2 linked regions of the Caenorhabditis elegans genome follow. The protein of the gene in region 2 purifies or fractionates together with the protein of the main gene of each other region. This does not show direct contact. Each region holds a gene or a part of one and is shown on either strand. Other genes may lie near its edges.

The links.
Region 1: the proteins of W03G11.4 (region 2) and F01F1.11 fractionate together in Caenorhabditis elegans (co-fractionation; one large-scale study listed by BioGRID). This does not show direct contact.

Annotation. Positions count from the first base shown.
Region 1 is NC_003281.10:5,869,137-5,873,734, forward strand, and holds F01F1.11 (PAP-associated domain-containing protein), read right to left. Parts: upstream 2,742-4,598; 5' UTR 2,709-2,741; coding exon 2,690-2,708; intron 2,638-2,689; coding exon 2,455-2,637; intron 2,408-2,454; coding exon 2,172-2,407; intron 2,121-2,171; coding exon 1,956-2,120; intron 1,908-1,955; coding exon 1,700-1,907; intron 1,408-1,699; coding exon 1,224-1,407; intron 1,181-1,223; coding exon 1,010-1,180; intron 680-1,009; coding exon 628-679; 3' UTR 549-627; downstream 1-548. Other genes in the region: F01F1.15 (DUF3456 domain-containing protein), read right to left, coding at 1-19, 64-263, 311-392; F01F1.3 (MIF4G domain-containing protein), read left to right, coding at 3,919-3,988, 4,130-4,257, 4,306-4,433.
Region 2 is NC_003284.9:12,075,974-12,081,892, reverse strand, and holds W03G11.4 (uncharacterized protein), read left to right. Parts: upstream 1-1,620; 5' UTR 1,621-1,670; coding exon 1,671-1,693; intron 1,694-1,873; exon of another isoform or gene 1,874-1,951; intron 1,952-2,351; coding exon 2,352-3,083; intron 3,084-3,208; exon of another isoform or gene 3,209-3,306; intron 3,307-3,376; coding exon 3,377-3,812; intron 3,813-4,026; coding exon 4,027-4,200; 3' UTR 4,201-5,412; downstream 5,413-5,919.

The DNA of each region.
Region 1 (4,598 bases), on a different chromosome or scaffold from region 2:
TTCCAGTAATTGTATTCACCTGAAGAGAAATTTGTAAAAATCTATACAATTTATGGTTCTTACCACAAGTTTATAGTGTTTCGCATCATCACAAGCGTGCTCAATGATTTCTGTCAAATGAGATTCTGAACGAGCATAGCCGATTTCCTTGAGCCCTTTTTGATCTCCAGTTGGTGAAACTCGGAAACTTCCAACTTCGATTTTCTTTTTCGGGTCGACTGCGGCGATTTTCAGCTCGAAATGGGTTACGAGGAGGGAGCAGGCTGAAATTTTCAATATTTAAAAATATATTTTAGAAAAATCTATCAACCTCCACACTCTAATGAAGAAACCGATGCAGATTGAATACCCGACAGTGATATGAGACAAACCAGTGTAGAAACAAAATGCATTCTGAATAAATGGTTAAAAAGCGTCGATAATGACCAAGTGAAGCGGAGAGAGAGAGAGAGCAAACAATGATTGGGAGAGTGGCAGAAAGAAAAGAAAAAGAACGGTGTTTGGATAGGTATCCAGTGTTTGTGTAAATGGTACTTTTCTTCACGAATAAAACATGAATATTATTCATTAAAGTTGATTGGAAACAACGTATTCAAGAGATCGAAAATTGATAAGTTAAACATTTTTTCAATTGGGAACCGGTCGACGTACACGTGGAATAATGTCGCAGAGCCGTTGTCTGGAAATTTAATTTTAATACTATTCAGATATGAACTCTGAAATCTCGTCTCAAAGATATGTTACCCGGCCTCGTCACGTACAATTTTTTCAAAAGTAGTACTGTAGTGAAAAACTAAAGAACGCTCCGCAACAGCGAGCAGCAATGAAATTTTATTTTTGGTATTTTTCGAAAAAAAGGGAGCGAAAATAGAGAAAAATTCTGTTATCCTGTCGGTAACTGAAAATATAATTGATTTTCAAATTTTACGCTTTTTCCAAAAAAAAATTACACTTATAACTGAATGCAAATTTTAAGGATTTTAAAATCGAAATTATTTTTTAAACTTACTCAAACTGCGTTCGCTTCTTCATATTCGCTTCGGAAGGCAGATCGTGTTCTCTTTTCAAAAATCCTTCATAATCTTTCCATGTAACACAAGAAGTTCCTTGTTCTCGACCACGCAACGGGCTCAACAGAATGCCCGTGTTCAGGCAAAACGGCATCTCTCGGAGCTCATTTCTGAAATTTAATTCAATGTATTTTCAAGGATTCAGGCACTTACAAGCAATCTGTAATTGCATCTCGAAAGAATCTCGTCAATGGATCCTTCAATCGACAAGCTTCTTCATATCGTTGAACACGCATTGATTCATCTTCTCCAAGTGAAATTGATAGTGGTGTCATTGGATCGAGCTGATCGTATGGGATGTTTGCATCGCTAATTCCTGTCAAATCGAGCAGAAACTCTGGAAAAAACAATAAAAATTGATTATTGGCAAGGGTATCATTGAAATTTTTTATGGATTTTTTTTCTGAGAAAATCAAAAAAAAAGTTTAGCAATTTTACAACAAAAAAATGTTTTGTTTAAATCAAATTAGGCTTATACTGTTATCAATCAATATTATTAAGGAAAAACATATAATTGCCATCTAAAAAGGAAAAAAGGTCAACATTTAAAACTATTTTTTGAAAAAACGAAAATTGTTTCCAAATATTGGAAAAAGCCCATGGATTCTCTTTTTTTATTTAAAACTTACGAGTAATAGTTGAAACAATGGCGGATGGTAAGTTAAGAATGGCTCTTCTTTGACTATTTCCAGCTCTTCTTAAAGTATATCTCCAGATCATGCATCTCGGACGGCACGCAACACAAAAATATGCTTTTATAAACTGCTTGGTTTTGTTGAGAAGTTTTGCGTTTCTGCGGAACGTCAGCAAACTGAACACATATTGAAGATCGGCATTCTAAAATTTGGCATTTTTTCATAGAAGCTGAAACAAAAAAAAACTCACAGAGAATACACCTGTTGCTCGAATATTGTAAGAAGTTTGTTGGCAATGCGAGAGATTCATTAGACTTAAATCGATTTTATCGAATTTTGACTCTGAATTTGTGTTGGTCGTCTGTCCTACAATTGTTCCTCTCAGGTCTTTAATGTTTGACTTTAGCGCATTTAGCTGAAAAATCAAAAAATGGAATTTTGAATTCCGGGCTATCAGAATTCTGACCATAATAGACGTTCCAAGCATTGCAAACCTTCCATCAGCCGCCGATGGATTCACCATACCTTCTACCAGCGATTCCATAGAAATATCTCCGAGAAATGTGGCTTCAGATATTCCGCAACGGATGGTTCTCTCCAATGAAGCTTCATTGAGCGTTTTATCCGATGTCGACACCATCACACGTGTTCCAAGCTCGATTATATCGATTTTCTCTGAGGCAATGTTTTGCTCAATTTTTTCTGAAACAATAATTGAACTTTTAATATTTTATTGATAATTTTTTTACCCATTCGATGGATTTTTTTCATTCTTTGAGTCGTCTTAAAATCTTTAATATCTTCTTTTGCATCATTATAAGAATCATATTTTTCTCCGCCCATATAGTCCTCTACATCGACTACGTCTTCCATTTCCATCATCTCATCTTCGTATGAGCCGTGTTCAGAGCTTTTGAAAGCAAACGGAATTACTATAAAGAACATTTTTTAATTTTTGAATAAAATTATTATTTTTAAACTTACTTCTATTTGAGTTATTCATATTTTTGTGGTAAATTTCTTGAAAAAAAATAATAAAAGGAAAATAGAGAATAGAGACAAACCGAGAGAGACCAGAGAAACGTTGTCCGAGAGGAGTGCACGGCCGAGAAAAGTCCAACACCTTTTTGCGCGCTAAATTTGAATTTAATTTGCCGCACAAAAATTTTCCTCCCTTTCCAGCCGCAAAATAGAATTTTCTTGAAGTTTCACATTTCCACACGAGAAAGCTAATAAAAATAATTATGTTTATAAACAATCAAGCAATTTTTGTCCTATGCAAGTATGCATGAACCGAAAACAGCGTTGGTGTTTTTATAAAACAACATATTTACAAACTCTAGGATAGAAAAATGAAAAGAATATGACATGATTCGCTAAAAAACAATTAATATCATTGAAAAACGCAAGGCAAATGAACAAAAAAGCAGACGTGAAAATTCTAAAAAGTCTACCATAAACTTTTGCGCGCCGAGACCCATCTGAAAAATACATATGTATATAATTCATGAAAATTCCAATATTTTAATTGTCTATTATATTGCTATGTTCATGTGTTTTGAGCCTCTTCTATGCTCTCCAGAGCTCTCTGTTCGCCACATGTGTTGTGTAATTCGAAACAGCCGTCACTTTTCCTCTGTTTTTCATTTTTTGAGTGTGTGATGCTGCTTGCTCTGCCTTCTGAACTTTGCCATCATGCATTTTCGAAAGAGATAAAAAATCTTGAAAGTTGAGCATGAAGCACCCAATTGTCTCTGGTGACACTTTTCACCTCATTTTCAAATCTCTTGCGTCATTCAGCTCGAGCCATTCGTCTTTCGATTTGACCCGGTTATTTTGTACAATTTTTAGTAGAAAAAATTAGTTTTTTGGGTCCTGACACGAGCTAAAAATTTTAGTATACAGTATCTGTAAGTATTCAACCAGTTCCCACAATTTTTTGAAAACTTGTTAGAAAAACTTAAATTACTGAGAAGTCTTATTATATATCAGGAAATATGAAAACTGTCAAATAGGAAACAACTTTCTGTAAGAAGAATGAAATTCTACAGTACTCGCGGGTACTGTAGCTGAAATATTTCGCTTGCTCTAGAACCCTGATCGTCAATTAAAAAAAATTGGCTAACTCGGCAATATTTGAGAATTATTAAGTTAATCGGAAATTTCAGAAATTGAAAATTTTCAGACATTTTTTTTAAATCAATAATCACGAAATGAACGATGATAAACTACGGAGCCTATTTGCATCTCTTGCAACTCTCACACAACAAGGACCAATTCCAGGTGAGCTATTTAAGAAAATTCGAAATCGTTCTTTGTATGTAGAATCAGGCAAATGTGCCTGCTCACGCCTTGATCCCGTTATTTAGTGAAAAGTGATGTGGATCGTCGCGGGACCCACAATTTTAAAAATTCGAGTTTCAGTGCAAGCCTACAGTATGCTTGCTGGTCAACATTCTACAGAAGTTCTCGCCGAACACATGAGGCTCCGATGGCTTTCGGATGGACGCTTTGGACCAGTTGCTGCAAATATACTAATGCACATCCATAAGGTAGTTCTGTACTACGGTAACCTCAAAAACCACAAATTAAAATTCCAGTCCGATCCAAAAGACATTTCATTATCCTCAAATGTGTTGGCTCTACTACTCAACGACTACCGTAACCGGCTTTCAGTTCGAAACGATTCTCGACTTATGTTCAGGAATTGTGTGAAGACACTTTTTTCGTAAGCAATTTCCAATTTTTTTTTTCGAAAGAAACTATCGTTTTATTCCAATTTTCGAATGTTTCTTGTAGTCAGACACGCAATTTTGATATCATATGATATATCATGTTGAGGTATTGTTGAATGAGAAAGGGTGTGTGCCTTTAAAGAGTACTTTAGTTTCAA
Region 2 (5,919 bases):
AAAAATGGGCTTTAAAAAAATGTTTGAAAACTTTCCTACCGCCAGCTCTTTGGTAATAAGATGAAGCTGAAACCTAGAAGAGATGAGCAGTTGCAACTCTCTGAATTTTCAACTTTTTTGGTCAATATTTTTTTCCCGTTCTACATCATCATGATGGCATCTCAAAAGGATCCTTTTCGCTTGTCCTCTGGAGAATATTTCCTCGTATCTTGCGCCTAGCCTAAACATGTTTTGATTGGCCTGCCGACAAGAACCATGAAAAACGGCCAGCCGGACACTTCTTGACACTAGTAGCTCTCTGGGGAGTTTTGTAGGTAGTGATTGTTTACGTTTCCCAAGCTCTTCGTCTCATCTCTTAGATGGTAGATTAGCATTACTCAACCACTAGATGCCCACGCGGAAAATTCGGTTATTCCGGAGAGTGTGGCGATTTCTATGCCAGAAATCAAGTTATGCTGGGTGTCAAGGCTGCAGTTGGGAATTTTCTAGTTTAGAAGTGTAAAAGGCGTTGTTCCTCATATTTATATGTTCCGTTACTTTCAAAATAATTCCATTGTTTCGTTTTCATTTCTTAATTGATTCGAAAAGCAGTGTAACCTTTTCTACTAACTCTACATTTGGATAAGTTTTTACACTGGTTAACTATAGAGGAAAACTGGGTGCATCAGAATTGGAGGCAAAACTTCATTTTAAAACTTTTCATCCACACATTTTTTTCAAAAAATTGCAATGAAATGGATTCACATTGATTTTTTTGTTTTCTTGTACCGCCGAAAGGTAATGAAGTAAATTGATGGCGAAATTCTACCAATTTCCTATTAAGCCTCCAATGCCTCTCCCAGGTTGCGTGGAGGTCATGATAATGACGGGAAATTGTCTCTCTCTCTCTCTCTCTTTCTCATTTTTTCTCTTCCATTTCACTTTCTTCTTCCCTCTCTCTTTCACCCCGCCCTCCATCCTCTGGTGCCCGCAATTCTAGAGTGTATTGGCGCACTCATTGTCAAGACAATTCGACAGCATAGTTATCTAGCTAGCTTCTTTTTTTGTCGTGTCTGCATGTCTGCCTATAGGCCTACTAAGCAAAGCAGACAGAAAGACGCCTTCATGCAAACGTCTCATTCCTCTCGTTTTCATGTTTTTCTTGCAAGAAAATATATGACTACTCTAAAGAATGCCAATTCACGTCTATTTTGGTTCTGTTGAGCCAAGGGATTCCAAGAACTAGGATTCGTTTTTTTTTTGGAATTTTAGTTTAAATAGAGTCCGTAAAAATGAAATATTACCAAAGAACACTTCAAACCAAAAAATCCGCCTACGCCCTCGGAATAATATGGCCTAAGGGGGCCTTCTCGCGTGTTCCAACCCCACTTGGCCATTGAAAGAGACGGCCTTTCTTCCCTTCTTTTTGCCACAGCCCTCCATTTTTCCCCGCTCTTCCTTTTCTCTTCTTACATTTTTTCTACGTCCTCGTTATATTTTTCTTCTTCTCATAACTTTTTTTTATTCATTTCCTACATATCTCTTTATAGTTAAATGCTATAGGGGCGCTGGTTAAATGAATGAAAAGCTCAATAACTTAATATTAAGACCAAAGATTTGCTTCACATAGTTATTTTTCAGAAACCGTCTACCTCAACTTGGTGAAACTCACTGATACGGGACATTACACTATGCTTGATTATAAGGGAATTTTGTAAGTTTCAATTTAACTGCTGCACAGAAAGTTTGAATATTAGAAAGTTCAAATGAGCTACGTTTATAGCTAAATTACCATTTGAAGGATACATGTGAAAATTGTAATTTTGTACAGATTTAACTTATGTGTTTCTATTCCACCTTCCCGCAGAAAAGTCAAGTCGAAAACCCATATGGCTCCAATTAGAAATGTAATCTCCGCTCGTAAAACTTAGTTCTTCATCTCATTTCGTTGCGTTTCACACACCCTAACATTGCAAACCAATGGATCCCAGAACAATGCTAGTGTGTGAGAAACAAAGAGAAACAAAGAGAAGTGAAGGCATTTGGCGTTTCAAGTGTATTAAATTTGTATACTTTTTGCTGGAAAAATGAGGCATTGAAAGACTGTGAGCACTTGGCGCATATTGGAATAGAAGGGGGTGAGAGACGGAAAGCTCACTGACAAATAAATAGTTCTCGATTTCAAAAATTTCAAATAAACAAAATATTGAATTACTTTTTTCCCTTCGCCTCGGTTCTTTGGTTGGTAGGCTTTGCCATTAGTTAAATTTCGCTTACGACAAAATATGAAATTTTGGAAAAATATTTTTAGAACTTAGATTTTAAATTATAATTTTTGAGGGAAGACGATTTTTCAATTTTTCTGTTTCCAGAACCAATATTACGGGTTTTGCGAAGACAAGCTTCTACGTGACGTTACGACGAGGGAGTCGCAATTCAACAAACACCTCAGTCACGTCTACATCTTCAGCTTCATCATCAAAGCAGACGGAACATGAGAGGCTGAGCAGAGATCGCGAGCTTGTTCGTCGGCATGGCCGGTTATCGTCTTCGGAGGAGGCCAGAAACACAGCTGTAATGGGCCGCGAGGCTCGTGAAGACGGGATCTACACTGAAGAGAACGGCGCTGGTTCGCCATTTGTGGTCGTCGTCTCCTGTTACAACCTTGGAGAGATGGTTGTCGAGAAGAGTGTTGAGCTTGAGAACAAGAAGATGGAAGAGGGTCAGATTCCAAAGAAGAAGAGAAGTCGAGAGCTCAACATCCCACAACGCAATATGTTTGCGCCAGATTTTGTTATTCGGCCGGATGAAGATCTTCCTGGATTCTCTCCAATCGACAGTGAGTACGATACAGACGATGATGCATTTGAGGCTGAAGAACTGAATCATCGAAAAGCACCACGACACACTCAATCCATGCCGCCACCGTTGTCGGGAATGAATCCAGATATTCCAAATGAATACGATCCTGTGATTGGAATCATCGCGATTCAGGGAGTACGAATTCCACGCAGCCGACCGATTGACATAGTGCCAAATCGCGAGCCACTGTTTCCTTTTTTTGGGGTAAACAGTGACCTGCAAGTTATGCTGATAACAGAGCGGTAAGTGCAGTTCTACCAGAAAAAAACTTCACACAATTCATCTTTCTTGCCAAGGCGACTGAAAAAGTTTCCCCATTCTTATTGTGGTCTAGAAACTTGTTAGGTTGGAGCATGAAATGCCCCTTATATAGCATCTTTCTGTCTCGCCCATCCCGTTGCTCCAATATTCTAACAACAAGTGATTATTGAGCAATGCGCATGTGCGGGATAGACTGATGGCTGCTTTTTGTCCGGAGCAACTTCAAACTTTTTTGTTTTTAAATTTCGAAATATATAATCACATACGCGTTCAGAATGTACGATGTCTTCAAGGAACGGATACATTCAAAAGGAAAAGAACGAATGCTTACAATGATGGAAAACTTGGCAATGACACTGACCTGTGGCCAAATGTGTGGAAGACTTGTGCCCGTCGAGATGATGGACCAAACCGTCTACTATTATGACTACGACACTGTTAGCTTTTTGTCAAGAGAGGAGCTCATCAATTTGTTGATGCTTTGTGAGCCGGACCAAATTGAAGACATTATGGTTGCTTCGTCGTTTCCAAGCAAATTCCATCGTGAGACACCGGAGCAGATGTTGCAACGTAACAAGCACTATCAGCATCTGATGCATCGTCCGCAGATCTTTCTTCGTCGCACTGATTATATGTCGTGTAGTATTGATGATGAAGATTTCACTTTTCCATACTTCGAATCTGTTGATAATGAGCACAACAAGCGATTGGTAAGTTTCAGATTCTCTTACTGAAATTTTTGTTAATTTTTTTCGGTCTTTATTTTGAGTATATATTGTCCGAAGCGAATTTTTTCCATTTTGCTCATTGCAATTTTTAATTCAACCGTTTTGAAACAATTTTGTCCGGTTTATATTTACATTGTATTTACAAAACTAATAAAATGTTGAAAACTTAAAAATATTTTTTTAAAAAAATTTTCAGACACTCGAACGTCAACTAAACGACGACAACGTCGACCACGAAGAAATGGGTGCCCTCATCAGAACCATCAGTCAAGATCTAGAAGAAGCTGAACGTCAGAATGGGCTTGAATTCGTGCACCGCAGCACTCTTGCTCTTTACGACGCCCGCGTTATCATTCCCCCAGTCAATTAATCACTTTCTTTTTTTTTGTTTGTACCAGGCTTCCCTTTTTCAATCATTTATACATTCATTTCTCCGGCTTCCTAGTTTTTAGTATGTAGTAGACGGTCTTCTCAGTTAGCGCAAGCGCTTTTTTCATCTAATCCCGTGCTCTTGTCCCCACGAACTTTAACTCTGGTAGTCGTTTCTCTCCCAATAACCTTTTTTCTTTTCCTTCATCATTTCATTTACATTACCAGAACAAAAAATCCAGAAAAAACCCTAGAAAAAAATTACTTTCCTTTTTTTAACGTTGAATAACCAGGTCATTTGAAATGGCAATTCTCCCAATCATACTAACTCCCTACGGAGATGTCATGTTTCAAACAATTCTCTTCGAATATCAATATTTGAAATCTTCATTTCATTTTCATGTTTTTCCAGTCTTTGGTTAAGGCTTTACTATGTCAAATTCCTTCTAGTGCACTTTAGTCATGTCACTTTTCCTCCAATTCACCCAATGAAAATCTCCTTGTCTTCAATCTCTATCACGAATCTAGTTAGACACTCAATATTTTCTCATCTCTTTTCAATTTTACAGTGAGTATTTAAGTCATTATCGTTTCCAGTATTATATGTTCCGTTGGACGAGTTGGCATGTCACCACAGTTTCCAAATCTCCCAACCAATTCCAAATATTTTAATCCCCATTTGGAAAGTAATAACAATTGACTTGTTTTTTTGTTGTTTTTTCATGGATCACTGGCCACCTCTTTTCCCAACCACAAGTTCCATAAACAACCACTATATTTTCTGTCAGCTGTGCTGCTCTTCTTACTACTCTCACCTCAGCATCTCCATCTCTATCAACATCCTAACCTTTTTTTATGTAGTCCTTGAATCTCTTGACGAAATCTGAAATGCGACATGATAGCAGTGGATAAAAACTCTTGCTCAAGGCCAACGTTGCCATTATGGGTAGGTTTTGGGAGAAAAAAACGTTTTTATCCTGTTATTTTGATTTTTCAGATGCCATTTTGACCATCCAAAAGTTCTTATTCACTGCCACGTCACAACCTTCCCGTCAAACTGATACCTCCCTCCCCCAATCAAAAAAATTGCTCTTTGTGCTCTCGTAGTTTTTGCTTTGTGTTTCTTCAACTTTGTGATTTCCTTAAGTAATCAACATTGGTATTTGTTTTTGTAACTGCTCGAATAAATGTAGTTAATTTTTATTTAAAAAAATTAATATTCCCATCAGTTTAAAAACTGTTGCCAAATGATAAAATCAATCAAAAACTACTTCAAAATACTGGGTATTGCAATATTAGTTAAACCGGTTTTGACAAGTACCTAAAATTGAATTAGTCAGTTTGTTGATAGCAGTAATTTCTGTCAGAAGTGACTCATAAAACATTTGTTAGGTTATTAGATTTCAACTGAAAGTAAAAGAAAAAGTTCATAATTTATTCATCTCCATGAAAATTGAAAGAACTTTCCCAAGTGATTTGCCAAATCATTGTTGTTTTTGGTAACGCTATCATGTTGTGGATTGAATTTCATATGCATTCTAAAAAAAGTTACATCTGCTGTGAAGGCTAATATTCTAACGAAAATCGATTTTTCATACTCGAAAACAAATGTAAATCACGATTGGTTGCGTTGAGCGCATATAATTCGGAAAACGTAGATAATCAGTAGTATGAATTTAAAAATTGCTTTTGCGTGGGTGTCTAAAAATATAGTCAAAAC